Drosophila melanogaster: one gene and its partners. The protein of the gene in region 2 interacts with the protein of the main gene of each other region in a pairwise test. Each region holds a gene or a part of one and is shown on either strand. Other genes may lie near its edges.

The links. Proteins that work in one complex are often made in the same cells at the same time.
Region 1: the proteins of Tapdelta (region 2) and CG3528 interact in a two-hybrid assay, tested with the Drosophila melanogaster proteins (one large-scale study listed by BioGRID).
Region 3: the proteins of Tapdelta (region 2) and CG14380 interact in a two-hybrid assay, tested with the Drosophila melanogaster proteins (one large-scale study listed by BioGRID).

What each region holds. Positions count from the first base shown.
Region 1 is NT_033779.5:2,513,502-2,521,797, reverse strand, and holds CG3528 (uncharacterized protein), read left to right. Parts: upstream 1-3,760; 5' UTR 3,761-3,841; coding exon 3,842-4,147; intron 4,148-4,200; coding exon 4,201-4,602; 3' UTR 4,603-4,696; downstream 4,697-8,296.
Region 2 is NT_033778.4:11,367,163-11,375,471, reverse strand, and holds Tapdelta (Translocon-associated protein delta), read left to right. Parts: upstream 1-4,136; 5' UTR 4,137-4,459; coding exon 4,460-4,699; intron 4,700-4,758; coding exon 4,759-5,019; 3' UTR 5,020-5,172; downstream 5,173-8,309. Other genes in the region: CG13203 (uncharacterized protein), read right to left, coding at 1-164, 1,072-1,493; CG13204 (uncharacterized protein), read right to left, coding at 5,236-6,715, 6,774-6,924.
Region 3 is NT_033777.3:13,184,745-13,193,168, forward strand, and holds CG14380 (uncharacterized protein), read left to right. Parts: upstream 1-3,774; 5' UTR 3,775-3,845; coding exon 3,846-3,896; intron 3,897-3,962; coding exon 3,963-4,142; intron 4,143-4,206; coding exon 4,207-4,482; 3' UTR 4,483-4,824; downstream 4,825-8,424. Other genes in the region: CG8508 (uncharacterized protein), read right to left, coding at 921-1,724; CG8141 (uncharacterized protein), read left to right, coding at 6,957-7,059, 7,109-7,725.

The DNA of each region.
Region 1 (8,296 bases), on a different chromosome or scaffold from region 2:
AAGTGCCACTCCCACTTCCTCCAGCCGCCCCAAGTTATGTGCTCTAATGTTCCATCAACATGTGCTGCTATTACTGGTAATCGCCAACAGGCCTGTTTACCGGAAAGCTGGATAATGCCTCATAATGGTTGCTTACCTTAAAGAAAGGGAAACAATTTCAAAGTTCTTAAAATATGTAAATATTACGCAGCATGGTTAATAACAATTACATTTAATTGCATAAACTTTTGTTTAATGGGAAAGATGATACATCGCTATTTATTTAACCATATAAATCAACAGGCACTTTAAATCATCAATGGGGAAGCAATAAAGTAGTCTTTGACAAATATTCGAAACGATATTCATATCGTTTTTATGGTCACAATGAATGATAAAAAAATGTAAATCGAGTAAATAATGAATTAATAAACTAAAACAAGAATATTAATTTGTAGTGAGAGCTGATTAATTTTCACGTTAATGAGATTTAATACGACTCTTTAAAGGACTCTCCGCAAAGCGGCTAGTTATTCCTGTCTGATACCCGAACCATTACGCATACGCACTGTGTACGCCATTAACGGCCATTTCACATTTCCTGCTATCGAATTTCCGGTTGGGAAGTTTCCCAAACAAACCAAGCCAAACAAACCGAATGCGAGCCATTGAAGATGCTCACGTTCGTGTTGATTACACAAAGCCCTCGGCACGGCAGTTTACAAGAAAACAAATTAATGTTCTTTTCCTTGGCCCAATGATTACGCCGATAAGTTCGGTTTTTTACACAGCCTTCAAGTTGTTTTTCCCGGCAGATGAAAAGTAAACAAGATGACGCTGGCGGTGTGGAAGGAGGTTGAAAATGCTTGGCGCGTGTCTGCCGCAAAAATTGCCGGAAATTTGTTTGAGCTTTAAATTACAAATCATTATCGATGCGCATTATAAGTATTCGGCCTCTGAAAAGGAACCGGACAACGGGGCGATTTCCTACTGCCGCCAACGGCACTTGTAAAATCACTTTGAATAATATTGCATTTGGGCTCGGGCCCATTGCTGCTTTTGTCTCCCTTTGAGCAGATTAATTTCCGGCATTTACACTTAATTCCCCAGTTTCTGTCTAAGACCCAGTCCCCAAAATCGATGCAATCAGCTAAGGAGCAATTTACCAACATGTCAACGGATGGACAGCAATCGAAGCAGCCGCATTAGGCAAAATCGGGGCATACTGGGGAGGAAAGCTTTAGATTTGCACACATTACCACTCAATCTTCATATACCCAGTGTCTATGATATGCAGGATTTGAGGCTGTCCCATCTTGCCCAGTTCCCTTTTGCCCGCTTGGGCAAATCCTTCGGCCAGGACCTCGGCATGCACATGATGTCCACATGGCCGCAAAGATTTATTTACAATTGTGTTGAGACATAATTCCTTTTGATCGATTGCGGGACCACCGCTCCCAAGGGATGTGGATGTGGATGCGGACGTGGATGTGGAATGGACGGGCTATGGATGTGGCTGTGGAGCTTTGTGGTCAGTTGTAAGTGATGATTCTTTTGGTCCGTCCTTTGTCTTGGCTGCGTTTCGTTGGGCTCCATTTTCCCTGGAGAAAAGTGGAGAATGCCGAGAGAGGGCAGAATTATTTGCGCAATTTATGTGGCTTTGATTTCATTGGCTAGATGTACGGCCCGGGCGAGGGCAATTTATGGTAACTTGATAATTTGTGTTAGCATTTGCCAACAGTTCAAAGGACTCGTGGCTGTAAGCCATTTATTTGCCGGACATGTGGCACTACTACCACTGCCAAGCGTCATTATAATAAGGAAATTGCACTCCAGAGTGGCGATGGGATTACACAGAAAATCTGGGAGTTTCGTAGTTAGGGGTCTGCAAAATGAAATCAAAATAGGAATTATAAAAACCCCTTCCTGGTTGACTTGCACATGCAAGCAGTATGCTTTTCTACGCTTTTCGGCAATCATGTCCATTGTCATGCTCGAAATGTATGAATGCTTGAAAAAATATGATTTACATATCTAGAAGTTCTCTGATAACTTCAATCTATGCAACTGCTCAAGTGGATGATTGGCATGCCCTGTGCGATAATGACGGCAACTGCTCAACTATAAATTCCAGCCCTCAGTCCATTCAGCACTTTCTGCAATTGAAATGCAGTTGCAGCCAGCCGACTCATTCATCAGAAATGTGCACTTAACACATGGCAAAAGCAGCCTCGACTTTCCCGAGGCAGCATTGAGCATTGCCGCCTCATTCTTTGGTAATGCACATAAATCCTTAGAGTGCGCACTTAACTCCTTTTTATGCTGCGACAAAGTACATTTACTAATGACCAAGTCAAACAATGGCCACGGCCAAGACGCAGCGGGCGAAATGCGAGTCCTGGCAGTCCTGGCGGTCCTGTAGGTCCTGCCAGTAGACTGGCGGGAAGTGGGTATGTCGTGACTTCAGCGGGGAGCAGGAGGATTGGCCCACGAAGTAGCAATTTACGCGCTCAAGACGGCGGCAAGCGGCAAGATGGTGACAAAGCATGCAAAACGGAACAGCAGTTGTTGCCCCAAAGTGATGGAGAGGGGGGAGGGAAGGGAAATTGTGAGAAGGCTTGGGAAAATGCAGAGGAAAACTATGGAGGGGGATCTGCACGTGGAGGAGCACTGAGCTCCAAGTGTCGGCAGCGGCTGCATGTTAATTGCTGCAGCGACGACAGCAACAACTGCAAACAGTGGGAAAGCGTGTCTAAATAGCGTAAATTCACACAGACACACACCTTCACGCAGGCAAGGGGAAAATCTAGCTGCGTATTGTGTGTGGAAATTGAAAAGCGAGCTGGAAATCTGCCAGGAAGTGCAGGACATCTTACACACCCTATTTGATATATAAATTATGGCTGATTAGCAGCGGCTGTTGGCATTGTTTTAATTGGTTTACCTGGTGATTAATCTCAAATGGCGAAAGGAACTTTGAAAGTGATTTATTTTTAAGGCAGGTTACAGTATCCTGTACAATTTCATAGACTTGGGTACATTTTTTAGTTGACTATAAACTATTCGTTGCAAGTTCATCAACTGGTTACCGTTTATGTGTAAATCTGATCTGATCTGAAAGTCCTTGGGATTCATAGGGCGATGTGCGGAACACTAGGTGTCACTTGTTAGACTGCTAATCCTCGACAGTGTGCGCTCAACGGGATATCAGGCGGAAAAGGACAAAGAGCGCTGCATACGCACAGGCTGAAAATGCAAATTTTCCCTTTGGCTGGCTGGCAGTTTAAAATGTTGATGAAGTAATTAGTTTAATATGCGAAATGCCCCTGATGGGCGGCGGGAGAGGGCGTGGCACATAGGGAAGTGTAATTGAAAATACTCACAGTTCTGGGCTAAAAGGGACAAGGGCACAGTCGGGGCTTGGGCATTGTGAAACTTTTTCCATTTATTAAATTTGCCACACGAACAGCGCAGCGGATTCTGCCAAGGGAACTCTATGTGGGAAATGTTTAATTATTTGTGCGCACATGAAATTAAAGCTGTTACAAATTGTTACAAACCATTCCGGCTATCAGTTTCTCAAACAAATTTCAATTAAGATAAGACTTTTTCACGAGTTTCGAAAATTAGAAGGAATATTTTTTGTGCTCAGCTACTTTCATTCGAAATTGAATATGAGAACAACTCTGCTTCTTCAGGCCCAGCAAAAGTTTTGCCTTTTGAGCCAAAGTTGGCAGTTTGTTGTCAGTAATGTATTTTGCTCGAACTTATTCAAAATATTATACATTTTGATTTACACGAAATCACAGTTTTCTTGCCATTCAGCAGCTTTTCAGTTTTAGTTTTTTGAGTTTCGCGCGGAATGAATCTGATTAACTTTAATCATTACCAGGACTATGTAGACAGCTTCATAACCATCCAGGACACTCGCTATTTGGGCAACAAAGAGATCCAGAGGAACCTGATCCAGAATGCCTGCGGTAAGAATTGCCTGGGTAATCTGCTCACCCGCGAGCAATTCTACCAGCGGAAGGAGAAAGAGTTGGTGCTTCTAAAGCCAAGGGGACTACGAGGACTCCAACTTTTTGGAGACTACTTGAACAACAAAGATGAGGTGCTCCAACAGTTTGCCAATCGAGAGAAGAAGCTGCTCGAAAAGCAAATTTCGGTTAGAAGGTTACATTTATGTGTAGTGAAATGTGTACATTTTGTAATTTTTAGACCGTCGTCTACCTGGTGATGCGTTCGAAGAAGGGTCTAGAGATCTCCAGCTTTCTGGACCTGGAGCAGAGTCTGCGCGAGTCGCGATTCGAGAACTCTACAAGCTGCGTAGACTGGCGGGCCATTTTCGAGGGCAGAACGAAGCTGAGGCCATCGAATCTGCATCTCAGCTACTTCGACTGGCACCAGAATCGTGTGTCCTTCAACAACAGCGACAATTTCCGGGTGTTGAACAAGAGGCCCCACAGTCTGCTGCTAAAGCATGTTGGCGATCACAAAATATTCTGTGTGAACGCCTCCTGCGATTGCGAGCACTCGAAAAATGTCAGCCGCAAAACGTATTTCTCGCCCATTTATGGATATGTCATATTCTTCGACCACATAATCAGGCGCATTAATTAGCGACGGCTTTAAAGTGTCAATGAACGTAATCGTCGTTAAATGAAATGTGCAAATAAATCGAAACGAGGGCGCATTTGTCGCTGACAGCTAACGTAAATTGCTTTTCATATCTTATCAGTACAGTTCTGGTCGCAGTTTTTGATGGACGTTTCGAGGTCCTTCCGCCCGGCGAGTCCTCCGTCCATCAGGCGGCGGAAATTACCCGAGCTTTATGCCACTTTGTTGAGTTTATCGCAGTCAGGGAACATCAATTGCATAAATCTATTAACTGTCGCCCGGCGGAATGGGGGCGTGGTTGAGCCTTCAACTTGACCAATATGTTTCTGTTTGCGCATTTGCCATTGTTTGCCAACTTGCTTGTGTGGGTCAGCTTATGACGCTTTGTTAATTCTCCCAACAGTGTGTCTGTTTAATTGGCCTTTCCACTCATGCAAATCAACTTGGCCAAAATTTACACAAGGCTGAAAGGAGAATTTGCTACGGCTTACACATTGGTGGTTAATGAGTTGAAAATATTAGTAGTCAGTCTTAATAAAAATTATATGAATACAATTAAATCCACTCTGTTGCCCAGATACCATGTTTTTGGAGAAGCAAATTCAAATAAATATTAAATACGCCTAAATTATGATTTAAGTGCCACATGCAGAGGCAGTGCAATTTAATTTGCATATACAATTAGCTGCTAATTTACAACTTTTAGTCTCCACTGGGCCATGGCTAAGTTCGCCCAGAAACAATTCAATTAAAATAAACATTAAGTGCTGCAGCCTCAGCTGCATTTGCCCAGCCAGTGTTCAGGTGCAAATGGAGGTCCTGGGTAGCAAGGATAAGTAATATTCCTCCCACTGGCGGACACAAAAGTCCAAATAAATATTTGCTCGGCTTCCCTTAGTCAAGTCCACAGAGCCGTGAGCTGGTCTATGTGTCTTTGTTCTCCATTAAGATATGGCAAATTTGTTGCCCCCCAAAAAAACAAACAGGAGGATAGAAATTCAGAAATTCCCTTCGGCTGGCATTGAGATTGCATTTTACGGGCCAAATAAATTTCATACGATATAAACTACCAATTTGCCGCCAGACTGCATTTTCAAGACCAAAAGCCCGCGCTGCCAACCAGCCTGCCTATATATTTCGATTAACAAATGGATAAAATAATAAAATAATTGTGTTATATATTCCCCACCGTGTTTTTGCGATTGTTTTGACAAATTTCACCAATGATCATTGAGCTCTATTCAAGCCAATCAGCCGTATACAATTTAGACTTTTGACCAACGCAGTCAAGTGGCTTTCATTTAATATTGTGAAATCCAATGTATAAATTATGAATAAACATAAAGTCTGCTTGTGGCCAATTTAATTGGGCAAATGGCAAACAATAATGAAAATGAATAATTTAAGTGCTGGTGGAATTGATGTCAAAAAGCTCATGGTTATTTAAATGAAAGTGTGCACATTCAAATAGCCCTGAGTCATTCCAAAGGCAACGAGTTGCGCTCCATTCTCTGCAATTCCATTAGTTTTTTAACAGCAAAAACTCATTTTAACTAATGTATACATTTTTAATGATTTCCCGCTAACCAAAATATATTTTCCTCTCTCTATTTTACCCACATGTATATTAACGAAACTGTGCAAATTGAATATACATTTTCCCTGACTAGGCGCATTTCAGAGTGCCTAATGAGTATGTAGATCCTGTCAGCGTTGACTTGCTGTCAATTTGATTGGATTTATGCCTGACCTGTGGGTCACACAAGCCGGCAAATAATTTATGAGCTGACCCACTAAACTGGCCGCCTGCCGGGCCATATGTTTCATTTGTTATTGCTGGCTGGGCACAAAGAATATAATATTTCATAAGGTCGTAAGCTGTCGCAAAAGATGGCTAATAAATAATTTAGGCACTCAAGATTGGACATCTGGCGAAGTTACGTGCGAGGCCAAAACCCTTTCAATCCCCCGAAAATAAATACATAAAATGCCGCCATAAAGAAAACATCAACGGGCGGAAGTCGGGGAAAATAAAGTGAGGACTGAGCGAAGGGCATATTAAATTTGGCTGCATGCCGCAAATGCCAAGAGGTCCTTTCAAAAAGAGGGGCCTTTTTGCAGGCAAAACAACAATCGTAAAATGTGACCAATAATGAAAATAATCAAGAAATGAATTAAATGAAATGTTGCGCAGCAAATGAAATTTTTGTTCCACTTTCCGTCTGCTGCTGCCAGTTGCTTTTCACGGATTCTGGCTGCCATAATGAAAAGAGCGGAAAGTTCGTGAAAAGGTGGCACGAACTTGTGTTAAAATAAAGAGACGAAAGTTTTCCATTACAGACAAAATAAGTTATATGATAAAGAAACAAGTAAATAAGATTAAATAACTATCAACATGATTTCAGCCCTTAATGGAACCTAATAAAATCTGTAAGTTCTGAGTGACACTGCATTGCTTAGGCTATAAATATAAAAATATATTTTATATACATTTTTATTGAGCCAAATATTCCATTATTGGAAGCAGCAAAGGCAACGAAATTACAATGAAACTAGTAATGAAATTCATCAAACAAAATCGGAGTACGCTCAATAGGAGTTGAAGAATGCTGTTTTTCGAATAATACGCATACGTCATGAATGCAATTGTGCAACTTAATACGAGTTTTCATTCAATTGGGAAACAAAACCAGCAACAAGAATGGCATGCGAAATAAGCCGAATTTATGGGCCAAACAAAGGCTTATAAACCACAAATCAAAATGCAATACAATGCGCCAAACAGGCAGCAGCAGCAGCAACAACAATTGCCAGAATGTATCAAGTTAAAAGCAATTGTGAATTTTCTAACTGAAGTCATATTGTCTATACATTTATCAAATGTCTGTCTGTGCTTCAGTTTGTGTTTTGGCGGATGCCATAAATAAAACCCAGCCAGAAGATAGACACGAAAAGTGGGAGTCTTGAGTCGGAAATTGTTTCGCAACGTGGGAAATGTTTGATTTATGTCTCTGCTGCCAGTGACCTCCCATGGGAATGGGTTGCAGAAGACACAGAACTCACAGAGCAGTTGTAAAATGTGTAATTGATGATGTGGCAGCAGGGACATAAAAAGGAAAACAGAATGCGAACGAAGGGCTTATGGGCTTCCGTCTAAATATGGTATTAATGCTTGGATTTTGTTGACATTTTCGACAAAACATGTACAAACTGCGCCAGCAAAGTGAACAAACTCCCGCGCCGTCCTTCTGCATGATAAGTGCATTTCGAGTGCAGGACACGAACAGCGTGACAACATGCAAAGCGGGTGGGGCGAAAGCGACAGGGGTGGACAGGATGGGCACCCAACTAAGTCAAACGGAATCGGAAACTGCATGCAAAAAGAAGAAGAAGAGCGGCGGCGGGCGAAGAAGAGATAGGAAATGTAATGTTGACCATTTGGCAAGCAGCACGAAAAGTCATTTTGTTCAGCTGCAAGGAAGGATCCGACACGGAACACCTTGCTTGTTATCCTGGCAAATATTTCCACCCGACACAAAAGCATATTATCTAAGCGGCGAGGGGCGTTGGCCCTTCTAGCGAAAAATTCCCATTTGAAGCTTAACAAATTGATTTTTTAGTTGGAATTCCTGTCCCGCATTCGCCACGTTGCATGACAGTTGCTCATAGAAGAACTGGCGCACACATTTTTCTGGAG
Region 2 (8,309 bases):
CCGGGTTCTCAACCGGATGGCTGCCCTCGATATCGCTGGCTCGCTCCGCTTCCAGGTCCGCGTCCGCGTCCACTTCCGGTTCCTGCTCTCTCTCGTTGGTGGCCCTTATGGTCTGCGACAGCACTATATTCAGATTAATGCGATTCTTGTCCGCCTTGGCGCTGCTGCAAACGTATAATGAATATTGTAGCTACAGAATGTAACGTTTGAGGATATCGAAATCGAAATGGAAATGGAAATGCATGAGGAAAGTGGGAAATGAAAATGGAAAGTTTCGAGTGACCTACTCCCGCCACCCGGCTAAATTTAAATCAAATTATTTGGCATTAGTTGCGGGGCAATTTATGCTGTTCTCGATTCCGAATCATGCAAGGCACAGAAATAGAAATTAACTTGGGTGTTGGGTTCCGCCACACCCACCGCGCTCGGGTGAAAGGAAACCATGTCAATTACGTTGCCAATTGGCGCCCGAAATGCCGACCGATGAAAGTGAGTCGACGAATCTGGCGGCCGTTGAACCCGCCGCCTCTGCTGCTATCAGGCAAGTTTTCCGCTTTTCAGCCAGCTATCTTGTCAGCGTTTCGAGCCAATGATCGACTTAAGTGTGCCGCCGATGGGCGGTGGGCGATGTTTTGCGTGGGAGTTGCCGGCTCCTTCCATTGGCTCCCTACTTCGAGCATGTCTAGCGTGTGTTATGCACTGGAACATAAAACTTTGACGTTTGATTTGGGCGTGAAGCATGCAAATTGCACATACAACTTGACGCGACGCCCATATCGAAAGTGTCACTTTCGGCATATTTATATAGATGATATCAGGACAGCATTTACGGCTGGATTCATAGGGCTTATTACGTATACGCATGCAGTGAGTGGTACCCAATACGCAGCAAGGTCAAACAATAGAATACCCGATGGGTTTCCATAGGTGCGACAATACCTTTCGACACTTCAGGAAAGCAATAGGCAAACCCTTACTTAAACCCTTGCCTTTAGAAATCATCTATTAGAAAATAACTGATGTGATATAACTGATGTGATATTGAGCATATCATCCAGTTGCAGTACTCACATTTTCGCCTCGGGCTGTTCCACCTGTGCAGCCCTTTCCGACTCCTGATCCTTTAGCAAAGACGAAGTTGAAGACCAGGCCACCAGACTTCTGTCCCTCAGCCGTAAGCCCTGCACCTGTGACGCCGTGATGCGGGGTGCAGTACGCGGCGCGGTCTCCTCGACGGCCAGAGATGCCTGCCTGCCCACGGGATAGAGCTTCTGGCGGATGTTCTCGATGGATCGGCCCACGGAGAGACCTCTGGAGAGGTAGCCTCTCTGCTGGGTCGAAAATCTGGACGTGGGCTCGATGAAGGAGTGCTGCTTCCGCACGGACAGCGGCAGGTGATAGCGCCCGCCGGAAGTGGATGAGGATGGGTTCACCACGGACGATGATGCGTTTGTCGTCTGGAGGCGACGACGGCTGGCCACAGACAGCGACATAGTGACAGCCAGTTTATCCTTGATAACCTTGATTAGCAACGGTGACAATGAGCGGTTACCGAAATGGAGTGAGCCCTCGATGGTGAAGAGCTTTTGGGCCGGAGTTGCAAGAAGGGTGCCTTACGTTTCAATTGCCAATCAATGTGGCACATCGAATGCAAATCAATTACGAAGTCATTAAGCCGGAGGCAATAACTTTGTCAACAAAGCTGACGGTCTGAAATGGAAACCCACAAGCGAGGCACCAACGAGCCGCCAACCGTGAACCGTGATCCGTCACGAAAGCGAAAGCCACTTTGCAAATGCGATCCCCGTCTGGCCGAGATCGAGGTGGCTTCCACGTCCACTTGGCTCGAATGCCCTGCACCGACTGCGTTTTGTGAATGAAGAATTTCGGACTCCGAACCGGAATCGGAATCGGAATCGGTTTTTTTTTGGGTGGGGGGGGGAGGTTCGTTTATGTTGCCAACAAACAATCAACAAAATCGCAACGTTGGCAAGGAGTCGCCTGTTATGCTGGCTCAGGCTCTCCTTACAGTTCGGTTCTTTGTTCCATTTCCTGCTCACACCCACACGTCAGACAACCATCCACCGAAGCACACTGAAAGAAATTGGAGTGATCTAGGAAAAATTAAAAAAGGTAATGTCCCTTACAAATGAGCTATTATACTCGATTAGTAAATGTATCCTGTTAATAATTGGTTCGTTTTTTATATGAAAAACTTTTAAAAACTTAGGTTTATTGTAATATTTATTTTTGCGAGTTGTTGAAAAACTCCCAAAATTAAAATATTGTAGAATATAGAACGCCAAAATTTGGCTTATACACAATCGCGCCTGCTTCTATGTTTGCAATCTAAGTACCAATTTCGTTTCCGGTCAGAGTGCACTTTATTTTGCCCAATGCATCCGTCGATCCACCTGCCAACCCCGGATCAACCCACTCCTCCCCCAAAGACACGTGCAATTCCGGTGGGTCTGGCAAGTTTTCGACTGCGACTCAATGAACCCGCACGAACTTTTGTTTTCATTTGCGAATCACCCACCGAACGCCTCTTAATCGAAAGGATTACGGCATTTTTGGCAAATATGCAAATCCGGCCATGAATGAATGAATAGTAGCCAAAAAAAAGAAGCAGGAAAAAGGCTGGCAGAGTGGTGAGAAGAGGGGAGGAGGAGGAAGGAGAAATGCGTACAAGTCGCTCAATGTCAGCAAAATGTTAGATGCAAATTCAGTTGTTGCCGGTATTAGTATGAGTATGAGTATCTGTATCTGCGGATGGGCAACCGGATGGGATGGCAAGTGAAAAACTTTCACATTTGTGACAATTTCAAATTCATCAAAGACATGCAAAGTTCGGTGGAAAAGTTCCGTGCGCGGTGGCAATCAAAGGAAAGTAACGAACATAGCAAAATGGAGCCGATTCGAACGGTGGCGGCAAACACAAACACAAAATGGCATAAAACCGTAAACAAAAAAAGCAAAACCAAATCAGGCCCACTTCAAGGTCACATCCGCATACATTCGTATGCCTGTTAGCCAAAGTATTTATACGATAGTATCCGATTTTCCGATTGCCAATAAAATGTACTTAAAACAAAGCTGAAAGCCCCATTCCAGTTGGATGGGCATTAATCACTGCCACCAGTCAATACTCGGTGCTTATGGCCCGACTTTGAAGACTCCCCCAACGATTGGACAGGACTCCCGTTTCCTCTGACACTGCTGCAATTCGAAATCAATTGCAATCGAAGTGCCATAAATATTGGACTTAGTCGTAACCGATCACAGAACGGTACCATAGCAAAACTGTCAGACGAAAACTTATTTTAATTAGAAATGCAGTCGGTACGAAATTACTGTGACTGGAACGGCCTGGACTTTATCTATTGACTTTAAATTAAATAGATACTTACATACATATTTTAAATGAAGTCAGCCCAACGTAAATGTATTGCAAAAGGAATCCCCTCAAAGACGTTTTAGACAAGGAACTTTGGGTATTTGCCTAAGTACAAATTAAGCCACCAATTTGATCAAAGTTCACTTTGATGTTTTTAATATCAGCGCAATAGCGATCTAAAGCAGAATCCTCCAAAGTGATGGATTGCATTCGGTACTCGATCATAGCTGAGCAATTTTTCCTTAAAACATTACAATTTTGTATAAATATAATTTAATAAGAATTTTAGTCTTTTAATCAAAGTAAGACTACAAAAATTTAACCTGTTGGTGAAGAATTCTATTTGTCATTATATTTTTATTTATAAATTTAATTTAATTTATTAATATTTAACTTTAATATAATTGTTTTTTATTTAAAATTCGATATTTTCAAATTATATATTTGAAATTGAAATCGCTAGAAATTGAATTGATATGGGAGGAAATTAAGTCTACATATCTCAATGCCCCTATAATTAGGAAAGATTTATTTTGACAGGACTGACATCATTAGTAATAACTTTATTCCAAATAAAATGAATCCCATATTTTTATATTTTTTATGTATACGCACTTATTTTTAATACTTGTATATACAAATTTTATATGAATTTTATAACATTTACGTATACGTACTAATTGCTATCATATTCGAACGACAAACATTCCCGGAGAAATCTTAACATATAGATGTCATTAGGAAACTACAAAAAACCGCTTTCTAAAACTGTATTTTTAGATATAACAAGTAAAAAATCGGAAAAATTTACCACGGGCTACTAGCTATTTTGTAGCTATTCTCGACTGAGCGTTGCCATCCCTGGTCACGACCAGTGTGACCATCGAACTGGTACGACTTCGGCAATTTTCGTAGCTGTCAAGTGACGTGACGTATGTATGGTGCTGTCGTGGCGTTCGCTTCCAGAGAGAAAGAAAGTCGCAGGTCGCCGAGTTGGATAGCCGTAGAGTTCCGCCTATTCCATTGATTACTAAATAAAAACCACCTCATAACTTGATCAAGATGTCCCGTCAACTGTTCGCCATTTGCCTGATTGCCGCCGTTTGTGCGTCCGGCGTCTACGGTAGCTGCAAGGCCACCGTGAGCTCTTTCAGCACCCAGGATGCCACGATTCTGACCCAGCTGGCCCATGTGGGCGAGTTCACGCTGCAGTGCAGCGGAGCCGCTCCCGCCAGCCTGTTCGCCGAGTTCCCCTGCGGCAAGGTGGTGCCGGTGGCCAAGGTGGGCGACAACAAGTACCAGGTGAGCCAGTAGTAGCCCCGTCAAGTTTTGTGCAAAGGCTAATCTCTGTTCTGCACTAGGTGAGCTGGGTGGAGGATATCAAGCAGGGCAGCAGCGGCAATGTTCAGGTGCGTCTCTTCGACGAGGATGGCTATGCCAATGTGCGCAAGGCCCAGCGGGATGGCGACAAGGTTTCATCGGTGAAGTCGCTGCTCGACATTTCCGTGCCCACCAAGGGTGCCTACAAGGGTCCCTGGATCAAGGCTGAGCTTTTGGCCGCCTTCTTGGTCGGCGGATTCGCATACTTCGCCTTCACCACCAAGGGCAAGGTGCAGTCCTAAGTAGAGGATGCCTTCGTCATCGAGATTTTGAATGAAATTCATTCGCACTAAAGTCATGTACCATCAAATTGCCGGGTCCCGGAGATTTTTCCACATTTTGTACACCTAAGCATCGGATCACCCGCCGCTCCAAAATAAACTGATTGAAAGACCAACCGAAGGAACCTAGTTGAGATTAATTTAATTTTAATTTAGAGATAACTTGTACGAATACGCTTAAACCTGGCCCGTGGAGGGCGCTCCATTCATGGTCGCCTCCTCGTCGGAGGAGATGTCTATCATGCTCTCCACACGCGACGGCGACATCACATACACAAAGTGCTCCGTGGAGCCCTCGGGGCCGACTGGCGGCGGGGGTATGACCACGGAGCCGTCCTGCGGCGGCGGTGGCGGAGTATCTATGCTGCAGTACTTGAGATTCCCAGCTCCTCCTCCGCCTGAATCATCCGGCGGTGGCGCTCCACCGTTGCAATCAAAGTTCTCCAGCTCTAGCTCCAAATCACTGACGATTCGCATGCAACGCATCTTGGCGAGCGACTGGAATTTCATGGGCATAGCTCGCACCTGCCGCGCCAGACTCAAGAAGAAAAGAGTGTTTGCGTCAAGTTCTCTGTTGGCCTGTAGCACGGCAGAGACGTCCCAATCGCTCGGAAAACGCGGATCGCAAATCTTACGCGTTTTGGCGGGCGACGGCTGTTGTTGCTGTTGAATTTGTGGCATTTGCATTGACTGCTGCTGCTGCGTTTGTACGGAATTCCCTCCGGAGCAACTTAGGTTGATGGCCGTGGTTTGCGGCGAAGGTTGTACCCTTCGCACCTTGGAGGCTGGTGGCGCTGGCGGCGGCGGCGGAGGAGTGGGATTACCCATGGGTAAGCTCGGGCAGCTGCCGTTCAAACGATTGGCGTTCTGCACTTGGTTGGCCAGGTTCTGGAACAATCCCAAAGGTGCTCCAGCTGCCGCAGCCGCTGTCAGTTCCTTCTTGAAGTTGTCCGCCGCCGCAAAGAGATGCGGCTCGATGATCAGACAACCGACATTGCTGTTGGTTGCGCTGCCGGTGCTGCAACCAGGCGGCGTGATCGTAGGTGGCAGGGGAAGACCAGCAGCCACTGCCGCCGCCTTGAGCGTGGCTAGCGGGAACATCTGCTGGGCCAGTCCGCTCACGCCCAAGCCCATGGGCAGATGGTTAGCCAGAGAGGCCAGGGCATTTGCATTGGCCTTGCTGACAGCAGCAGCTGCGGCAGCGACTGAGGATGCGGGTGAGATGGGCAGGGGCAAGACTACGGCGGAATTACTGCCACTGGTGGCAGGTGGAGTCATCGAACTGAGCGGTGCCACTGCAGCACAGTTTAGACTTCCGGTTGCACTGCCGTTGCTATTGCTGTTGTGGATTTGCGGTCCCACGGACCCAGAACCTCCTCCTGTTCCGCCCAAATTGCTGCCTGGAGAGATCATATTCGGGGGCGTGGTCGCGCCCAAACTTGATGTTATGCCGGACGCCGAAGTACTGCTTAAAGCGGTAGTATAGGTATTAACCGTGTGCGTCCCCATGGATGAGCAACCAGCCGATGCAGTGGCAATGGTTATCTTCAGCTCATCCTCGCCTCCATTGCTGGCCGCCTTGGCCAAAACTTGGTAGCCAAAATCACACTCTGTGTCGTCCTCGTCGTTGGATTTTCCATTGCCATTCGCGGAGTTCCTAAAACAGATGATCAGTTCGGCGATTGTACAAATGAGCTGCAATGTGGAGTACTCACCTGCCCGGTCCCTGGAAGGGCTTTAGGAAATCCATGTGATCTGCATGGGCCCAGTACTGGTACTTCTTGGATGTCTTTGTGCCTACGCGAAACGAGCGAAGATACTTTGTATAACTGTCCCTTAGATTTTTCCATTTCCGTTTCGAGGCCTCTAAAAATCAAATGCAATAAGAAAAAATTAGATGTTGATAATTGTGGTATGCAACATTGAAAAATCGGAAGTGTTTTGTTGAATATTACTCTCAGTCGTTATTTAATGATTAAGGATAAAATAAGTTTTAAGCTTAGACCATCTCACAAACTTATCGCTGATTCTATTATCAGGACTGCTAATTTTTAAGGATGCGGCTCAATACGTTGTCAGCTACCAAAAGCATATTTCAACACAGATTTAAATATTCTTTTAATTTTTTCCATTAGCCCATGTACAAATGTATAGTGGGGTCAAGTTTAAAATTTAAATTTCGGACAGTGTGACCGCCGTTCATGACCAACGAAATACTTAATCAGCGAATGCAGTTTGGAGTTTTTAATAATATAATTCATTAGAATTTGCAATAAGCGATCTGCTCGCCAATATGGTGAATATAAAGCCGCAATCAAAAGAAATTTAATCGTGATATTCTGAAATTCAATTCAAAAAGGTATTCCTATCATCTGAATTGCTCGTAAGATATTATAATAGATTAAAAAAAGCATTTACACACGTTTCATTTCTAAAAATTATGAGACTTTTGTATATTGTACACACATATAAGCAAAGCGATGCTTAGTATCTTCTGGGGCTCTTATTGGAAGTATGCTCCAAAAGCATTTAAGTTATGCTAGATTAAAATTAATCCCAAATTAAACCGTCGTGGCGGTAACAAATGTTTAATGTTTACGAGGGGAACTAAAGAATACATGGTGCTCTATTTAGACAAAATACACATTAAAATATAACTAATGTATGATATTACACATTTATTTATGTTTGACTAAAAGTTAAAATAACAATTATATAGGCAATATTATAATATAATAATAATAATAATATTATTAAAAATTGCAGCACAGGTGGTTGCTTGTTTTGGGAAAAAGTTTCGCACCTGGCAACACCGTGCGCAATGTTTTTGTTTTGAAAAGCTCTCGCCAACCCACTCCCACAACCGCCCCTTCCGGCCTGTTCACTATCTTTCTCGCTCTTTCTCTCAGCATCAGAGAGCGCGCAGTTTTCGCTCATCGACTGTTTTTGTTTGTTTTTTCTGCGTGCCAGTGTGTTTTCCTTATATTTTTTTTGTTTCTGCTTCTCGCTGCAATTTGCCGACCGCACTCCAACTGACATACACACACACATATGAACGTACAGTTTCTATATACATATGTATATGTACCAGCGTACGAAAAATATCAGGCCGGGCGGTTTGAGTTTGTCCGCTTTCAGGTACATATACAAAGGTTGTATATATGCATATACATATGTATATACAGTGCAGCAGTGTGCGTGGGTTCTACGTAATTCAATTTCCTGCGCCTCCTTCTTATTTGCTGGGTGGA
Region 3 (8,424 bases), on a different chromosome or scaffold from region 2:
AATAATAATAATGGCAGTCCCGGCGAAAGTTAAAAGCCAAAGAAAACCCTCCTCCCCCCTTTGTCCATGAGGGCTATAAGCTCTTACCCAGCCCGGAGATTGTTTCAATCTGCTTAAGCGACCAAGTCGATGTCGGAATCGAAGGACCTAGCTTTTTGGCCCCCAGGCAATCAGGCATGCAACCAGATCTCCGCCAGATCCCAGCTCGACCCCTTCTGCCGTCCGATTGTTGTGCTTAAAATTGCTGAATAATTGTGCGGAAGTTGGTAGTTGTTGCATTCTGCGATGAAAATGGAAAAAAATGAACATAAAGTGAGGGTGGTCCATGAATCACATAAAAAACAAATGTCGCGTCGTTAGGCTAAAAGCTTTATGCAAATTTTCCATTGCTTCTTATCATATTCTCTTTGCCGTGCTGCAAGCTGAATGGAAATTGTATTGAACAGGGGATGAGATTGCATTGCGGGCTGGTCGATATGTATATATATATATATAAGTCCGATATCGGGGGGTTAATTGGGTGGACGGTCATTGTTATGCAGCTTAGGTCAAGTGTCTGCAATTAGGTGCAATTGTTTGAGAGGAAGTGCCATTTAGTTAAGCATTTGAACATGTAGGCTACTTACCAACCCCTTTTAAGAGCATTATTATTACTGCAACAGCAATTCGAACGCTTATTGAATCGGTTAGATTGGGTCTACTAAATTAAATCACATTACTTACGTTTAGGAAATGGGAATGCTTACACGAAAAAAAGTTGTAAATACTGTAGCATTATTTTAGCTTGTACATAATTTCATAAAATATTTATAATTTAAGACAAAGATTTAGTTAACGAGAGGCACCTAACTTGGAAAGCTAGTTACAAATTTTGTTGTTCTAAATGATTTCCTTGATGGCGTTAAAAAGCAAGATGATCTTTATACCTCTAAATCCTCTAGGACGTCCTGAAGCTCGGTAGCTACCCCCAGATCGTCGTCGTGATCTGATTTTCCCGAGTCCTCAGCCGATTTATCCACATTGCCACCCACCAATCGATCAGTATCAATACCAAACTTGAGTTCAAAGGGAAAACTCAGCTTGGGCACCTCGAAAGTGTGCATGTGGTAGTCGTAGTTGGTCTGCTCTTCTGGCGGAGCCGGGCAAGCGTGTTTAGCTTGAGGATTTCTATCTAAACCAGTCTGATGCCCCTCTTGTTCGGGATGCATATAGATGGTGTGTCCCGCTCCCGTCGCATTGTAGGCGTCATTTTCGGTGATACGCTTTGTGGAAGTATCAGGAGTTATTTCGGTATCGTCAATGAGTATGTTTATATCAATGGGCACGAGCATGTAGGTTTCTCCAGTACTTTCATCGGTTTGAATTTGGCTTAACTGCTCGTAGTCCTCGTCTGAAATGCAATCCAAATTTATTACATGGTCAGATTTCCAGCGAGCAATTTCCTTGGCGTCTGCGCGTTGAAACTTATCCGATTCCGAAGATCCAGTAGCTACTCCATTTGAGGTAATCTTAAATTTGTATAATAGCGGTTCTTTGAGCTGGACAAAAGCCTCTGGCTTACCAGCCTCCACATAAACTTGCACTTTATCCAGTGCATTGGCTATGAAATCATCGTTTGATAGCTCATTCCGCTCCTGCTGGCTTTCGTCCTCTATTTCCTGTGCCAGCAACTGCTGAAGCTTGATCATTTGCTCCTTGGTCAGATTGAGATCCTTTAGACTCATCGTTGCCCTGTACGGATTTAGGGATAATATATATTAGTAATGTACACAAAAAAAATATGATGATATTCGGAGTGATAATAATAAGATTGCGATAATGACTAGAAAATAAAGATCACTAGATATGGAAGCTGTGTATAAAAGTTTAGTTATCATAATTTCCTTTTGATTTTATAAAGATACTGTATGTCTTGGTTGCCCAAAATTACCAAAAACCCTATTGTATCTCATTAAGTATATAATATTTAAGAATTTTTGGCGAACATACATGTCAAACTAGTTTGCCAGTGCACTGGTTTCAAGATATGAATTGCTCTTCTGGGCTTCTATTCTATTGTTTGGAGAACGTACTTAAATTCAATTATTGTTTAAACACATCGAGAGACTTACCATCGTAATCTGAGACAAACAGTTGCTGATTGCCCTGAGGGCAGGGGTACAATTAAACAGCCTTGTCCGCACATTACCGCTCACGTTTTATGGCTGCCGTTTAAAAATATTGAAAAAAGCAGGGCAGGCACGAAATTGAAATGCCTGCCAGCGGGCGCAGCTTTATTGGCACCCGTCGACCAGGAGCCGGGGCATTATCCTGCAGATGGCTGCGGTCACTGGACATTAGGCGCTGGAGGACAACCGGTGTCCGTCGACAAGGCCAGGATCATGGCAGAACGGATACGGGCATTGTACATGAGATGGCGTCATTAAATACACATTACCCTGCCGGCGCAGGACGAACTCAGGAGCAGGAGCAGGAGTAGGCGACGGTGGAGTGGAGGCAGTCCGGCGATAAAGGCACAACAACCGCCGAGCAACAGTCGGCCAGCAGGAGAATGGCTATTAAAAAGCAGCCCGGGCCGAAGATAGACATGGTCGGCTACAGTGGCAGACATAACAAATTACACCATTTCGACAGGCGGTTCACAACAGGAAGGCAGTGCTGTTGAAATAGACTTTCCTTAGCTATTAGCTAAGAATATCAAGGATATTATGTATAGAGATTAGAAGCCAAATATATTTGTAAGACATTTACCATATCCATAAAACTGAATTTTAACAAAATAATTATAATATTCTCACGTTTCTTTATTTGCTCTAAAAATTCTGATTATGTCTTTAACAATTATTGATCAATTTTAATAAGACAATCGATCCTTGCATTCAGCTAGATAACCAAAGCTTTCTTCATTTTATATATACTCGAGATTCCCTTTGAAATAGCTATTTATTCTTATCTGCAATCGCCAGCACTGGATTGACACTATGGCCGGTGGTTCGATGGTTGGTGTTCAGTTTCAATTGTGCTGGCAAACGTGACTCCAAATTGGCTGCCGGCGAATAATTCATACGAAACACTTTCGCACCGTGCGCCTTGCCATTAGCATCGTACCACTGCCCCCACCGTCGGATGACCACCCACCTCCCACCACCCACTGGCACCCAAAGCGCCCACTTCGAACCACAGGGTAGCCCATGCCATGCCCCACGTAACCCCACGATTGCATTTACAGCAAATTATTTATGGCTGCGACAGACACGGAACAGGAAGCGAGTATGCGCTGCCAACTTCACGTCCATCAATATTTTATGAAACCCTGTCTGCAGAACGCTCCGCGCTGCTCTCAGCCGCCGGAATGGATGGGTTGGAGTCCTCGGAACAGGACGAGGGTATCTGCTTACATGGCTGCCTTGTGCCTTCTGCCGGCTGCCTGGCTGTCGATATCCGGTAGATGAGTATCTAAATTGCCTTTACTGTTGATGAATTAGCGCCGGCTGCCTGCCGCTCCCATTTGTGTGGAATGGGTGGCATTGCAAGTGCCTGCGTGGCGCAGATAAGCTTCCACGATGGGTGCAAATTTCAATTTGTTCTCGATGATTTTGCGCTCATCAAATAGGCCGGCAATCTAGGAAGACGGGAACACGACCTTGTTCGAAAGGATATGAAGTGAGAACAGAGCTACAACAGCAGGGGATTGGCAATTCACCAAACGGATGCACCTAAAATTACTCCATCATTCCTGTTGGAATAATACACATTAAAAATGAGTAGTAGAAAATGACTTATCAATCCTTGAGTTAAACATCAGTAACTGTTGCAGTATTTTTAAATTACCAGTTACGTCCATTATGTTACTCTCCCGCAAGGAAATCGTATCGTTATTGCTATTCCTCACGGCGGTTAGTTGCACCTGACTGCCATCTAATATCTGACCTTGTGACTCACCCCAGTCATCTGCTCCGCAGATCATTTCCGTGCTGAACGCGTCGGTGTTTGGGAACGTCCTGCCCCTCCACGTCAGTTATGAGCAGCTGGGCCATCAAGTGGTCTGCGTGGGAACTGCCTACATTTGCCTGATTTACGCCATGAGCACCTGGTTATACCACTCGAATTATTCCAGGACCCGTCTGCACATGCGATTGGTGGTGGGTGGTCGGCCAAATGGAGGTGAAGTCTAATTTCGAACATTTAAATATCCCATTTTTGCAGCTGGTGGCCATGATTTTGATTATGATACTGTTTAACTGCGCTTCTACCTACTACTTCCTAACCGGCGTTTCATTTTCAAAGCTAGGAGATTCCATGGAACTAATTTTCCTCTTTAGCAGCTTTGCAATGGCCTCCAAATCGGTCAGTTTGAGCATGTCGGCCATCAGCGTGGTGATCCTGATCGTGATCATGGTGTTACTCATTGTGACAATCATTCAGTCCCATAGAAGACACAAACGGGACAGAATGCGTTACCTCGAGTCGCAAAAGCAATAAACTCATCCTCATTCCCGTGGGAGTGCACATTAAGTTTGGTTTTTATGCAACGCCAAACATTTCATGTCGCTGCAATGTGGCGCCGTAGCTGCAATAATATAAATATTGCACTCGTACCTCGTTTGGCACAGACAGACACGAACTGCTCACCTCCTTTATTTTTTCACTCATGACACACCGATTCTGTGTGTGTGCTTTCTTCGCAGGTGATATGAAAAACATATACGAGTGTAAGAGAATCTCTGTTATTGTTTATCCAAGTCGCAGTGGGCATGCCCTGCCTTGAGAATAATTATACAATATATTTTTGTAATTCTATGTAATAAATGTTAGTTAATAGGGTTGAAGTTTGAAATTTTCTTTCTTTCCAAGATTTTTACTCATTCTGGGTCTTAATAATTTGGCATTACATACATTTTCGGTACCTTTTTTTCTCGATTATGAAAATGCCATCAGTGTATGCAGTGTATGTGTGAGTGCTTGGGCACCATCAGGGCCCAAAAAAATACCATTCTGGCCAGGATAAGTCTGAACAGTGCAACTCATAAGGGAGACAAGCAGCCTCTTCACATCGGCTTGTGTACCATTGCATTTTGCATAATGAAGCCGGCAGACAGTGCACTTTCGAGCATCAGACAAACGAAGTTAGGTACGAACTTAAAGGCTTGCCAAGCTGGAAAAGTTAAAGTTAGCTTTTTGGCACAAGTAGTGAGAAGGGGTTGGTAATTTGGGTAGGGGTTTTTAGGAGCGTTGTAGTAGCCTAATTACGCTCCAATGGCTGCCCATCAAAAGTGACAGTTGGCAAGGCAGGGGCTTACAATAAAATTTCAAGTTAAGTTATTGCCGCGCCGCTGGCGAGAGCTACGCGAATACTCAGTTGAAAGTAATTCCAAATTTAATTGCGCACAATTTAGAATGGCGAGATGTTGGCGTGCGTTTAATTAACTGAAAAATAACATAAAAAGCAAAACGAAAACAAAGCCCAATGACAGCCGCGGCGCCAGTGGAAATGCTTAATGTTAAATGCCAACTAATTAAATTTCGGGCATGCCAACGAAGTTGACTGGAGTTGAACTGCCGAATTTATTGTTGCATTTAATGGCCAGCGCAGGCGGTTATCCTTGTGCCATCGCTCGGCTTTACCACTTTTTATTGCGTATACGCTGGGGCACCCCCATTACGTATACGCAGTGTATTACGCCCCTCCACTCACAGCAGGCAAATGGACAGGCTAAAGGATTCGCTTTGTGGACAGGGATATAGGATGCCAAATGACGCAGAACCACTGGCATTGCGATTGTAATTCCGATTGGGCAAACGTCAGTTTCTCTGCGGTCCGTCGCCAAATGAAGCCAATAAAATGTCCTTGTTCGCACGCAAACGTGCGAAAGTGATTCATGTAAACTGATAAAAATTTAATCATATTTCACGTATTAACACGTAATTATTAATGCCTGATAAATGTCGGCAGTTGTGTAATATGTGAAAAAGTCGCTATTAATATGCATTATTTTCCGCTAGTTGTTATTTCACTGGGTAAGTAAAAAGCGCACGGTGTGTCCACAAGCTTCGGAAATACTTTGCTACGCATTACCATATAATTATAGTACTTTAAAAATATTTTATAGATGGTCTTAAAAACTTAAATTTCATTATATTTTACCACGCAACACTCCCGCTTGTTTTTTATTCAGAACAAGAACAGGTTATTTTACACCACTGCGTAATAGTTCTTTATTTAATTCTGTTCGAGTGTGTAATTTCGCTATGAAACTTCACTTTTATTATTATTGTCATTGTTATGTGTGCGAACGCCTGTCGGCGGGTTTATTTGGACCGTCCCGCGCTTTATTTTCTTTTAATTATGTACTCAGCTCACAAATGTGGGTCAATTAACAAGCAGTCGATGGTCCCCATCGATGTCGAAAAATCGGGATTAAACAATGCCGCAGACGTGCTGCCAGGACAATGCAAACAATTGTCAGAATTTAAATGCAGCGGCAACGGACCGCGAAGTTTCCACTCACTATCCGGTTCAATTTTCGCATAAATTATGCCGCCATATGTCACACATCTGGCGAATGCTACGAATTTCGATTTTCCGCCGTTTTTCCGGAACTGTCAAATGCTCGGCGTGTGTAGTTCGCTGTTTTGCAATTCTTGGACGGAATGCTGGAATGGTTTTAATATAAATCACTAAGTGTCTGCAAAACAATCAAAATCTGGCATGAACTATGTTACGGTGAAACTTAGTCATTAATTAATATGCCCTCAAATTTAAGTCGCTGAAAATGTCTTGCTTTTCATATAATCGAGAAATAAAATTACTATTGTACCTAAGATCTGTGTTAAGAATATTATAAAAAGTCGCGTTTGCTTTGACTCAGTTGTCACAAATTTGCCAGGCACAAATTTATATTTATGTAATTTGGAGCATGGGTTTTTAAAAACAATAATCACAAAAAGATTTTGAAATGGAAGCAGTTGCTAGAGAAAATGATCCACCAAATCATTGCTATATAAATGAAGAAGTTCCAGCGAATGAAACTGCCGAGAATCCTAGTCATGGCCTTCAAGGTGAGGCATTCCAATTAAATGGAAAATTATTAATGTTCAAGGTGAGCAGGTGAGGTGATTTCAAAGGGTTATATACCAGACTTGTCCAACGCAAACGTCAATCAGCAACAGCAGCAGGAAAATGATGGCGAAGATGACCTCTTGCCTGGAACTAGACTTCGCTACCGTCGCAGGAATTTGCATCTGGATCCCTATGTGTGCAATGAGTGCAACCAGTATGTGCGTGGTGGTGTGATCACCATCTGTGGTCATTTGTTTTGCTGGACTTGCCTGTGGCCCAAATTGAGTGGTACAGCACAGCCAAGATGTCCATGCTGTCAACGACATTTGCTCATGTACGAGGACATCATGCCCTTCCATGGAGAGGGACCCAATGCCCGTCAGGAGGATAATAATGTGCCGGCCCAGCCGGGCTCAGTGCCTCGCCCGACGGGACTGTATCTCTCTGATACTGATTTTCCCTGTTGGTTCGCGGTCAACGATCCTGTAGATGGGTGCCCAGCGACTTTCCCTGATATTCGCAGGGAGAGGGATCTTCACTGCGCTATAAGGCTTATTCCAATGGTGTACCCTTGGATCGGAGCACAAATTAGTTTTCTCAAGTGGTTCCAGTTGGGATGCGTGTTGCTCATATTTCTGATATGGTCCGTACTGTCGCTGTTCTAAGAGGTGTTTTTGTAATACATTTTTGTTTTTGGTTAATGGGAGAAGAGTGCGTTTTGGTTAATATCTTAAGAGGTTGGTCGGACCTCAATAAATTTCTGCTAATGCTGAAAGTATCTATTTTATAAAATCGAATGATTTAAATCGTATATAACATTCATTATAATTTGTTGCCCAAACCTCTGCAGCCAAGACATTTTCGTTGGAACCCTCTTGCATCTTCAACGAATCGAAGAAATATTTTATGAACTCTCTGGCCAAGTCAAAGTTAGTAAGTGCAACAACGCAAAGTACCGGGGCATCCTGGCCAGCTGAAACAATAAATTCTTGGGGCAGTTAGGAAACCAGACAAAACTGTAAGCAAAGTTAAGCAGCTTTAAGTCGGAACTTAAAGCCTTTTCACCTGAGGAGTATGGAAAGAAACGAACCGAATACTTTGGCTAATGAACCATGGTCAACTGAATATTCGGGGAATTGGGTTAGCCCAATTGAGTTGTTAACCGACTTTTGTGGGGGATGGACACTTGATGACAGCTCCGTGGGGGAATTGGAGTTGCGTGTCGGCCTTTAGCGGCTTGGCTCTGGGCAATATTTATCATTAATTAAGTGAGTGCCGAGAAATCCGTAAGGATATATAACCGAAAGGCAAGTGACAGAAGTTAATGCGTCAGCTAGGTGGAGAAAGCGACACGGACATTGAAA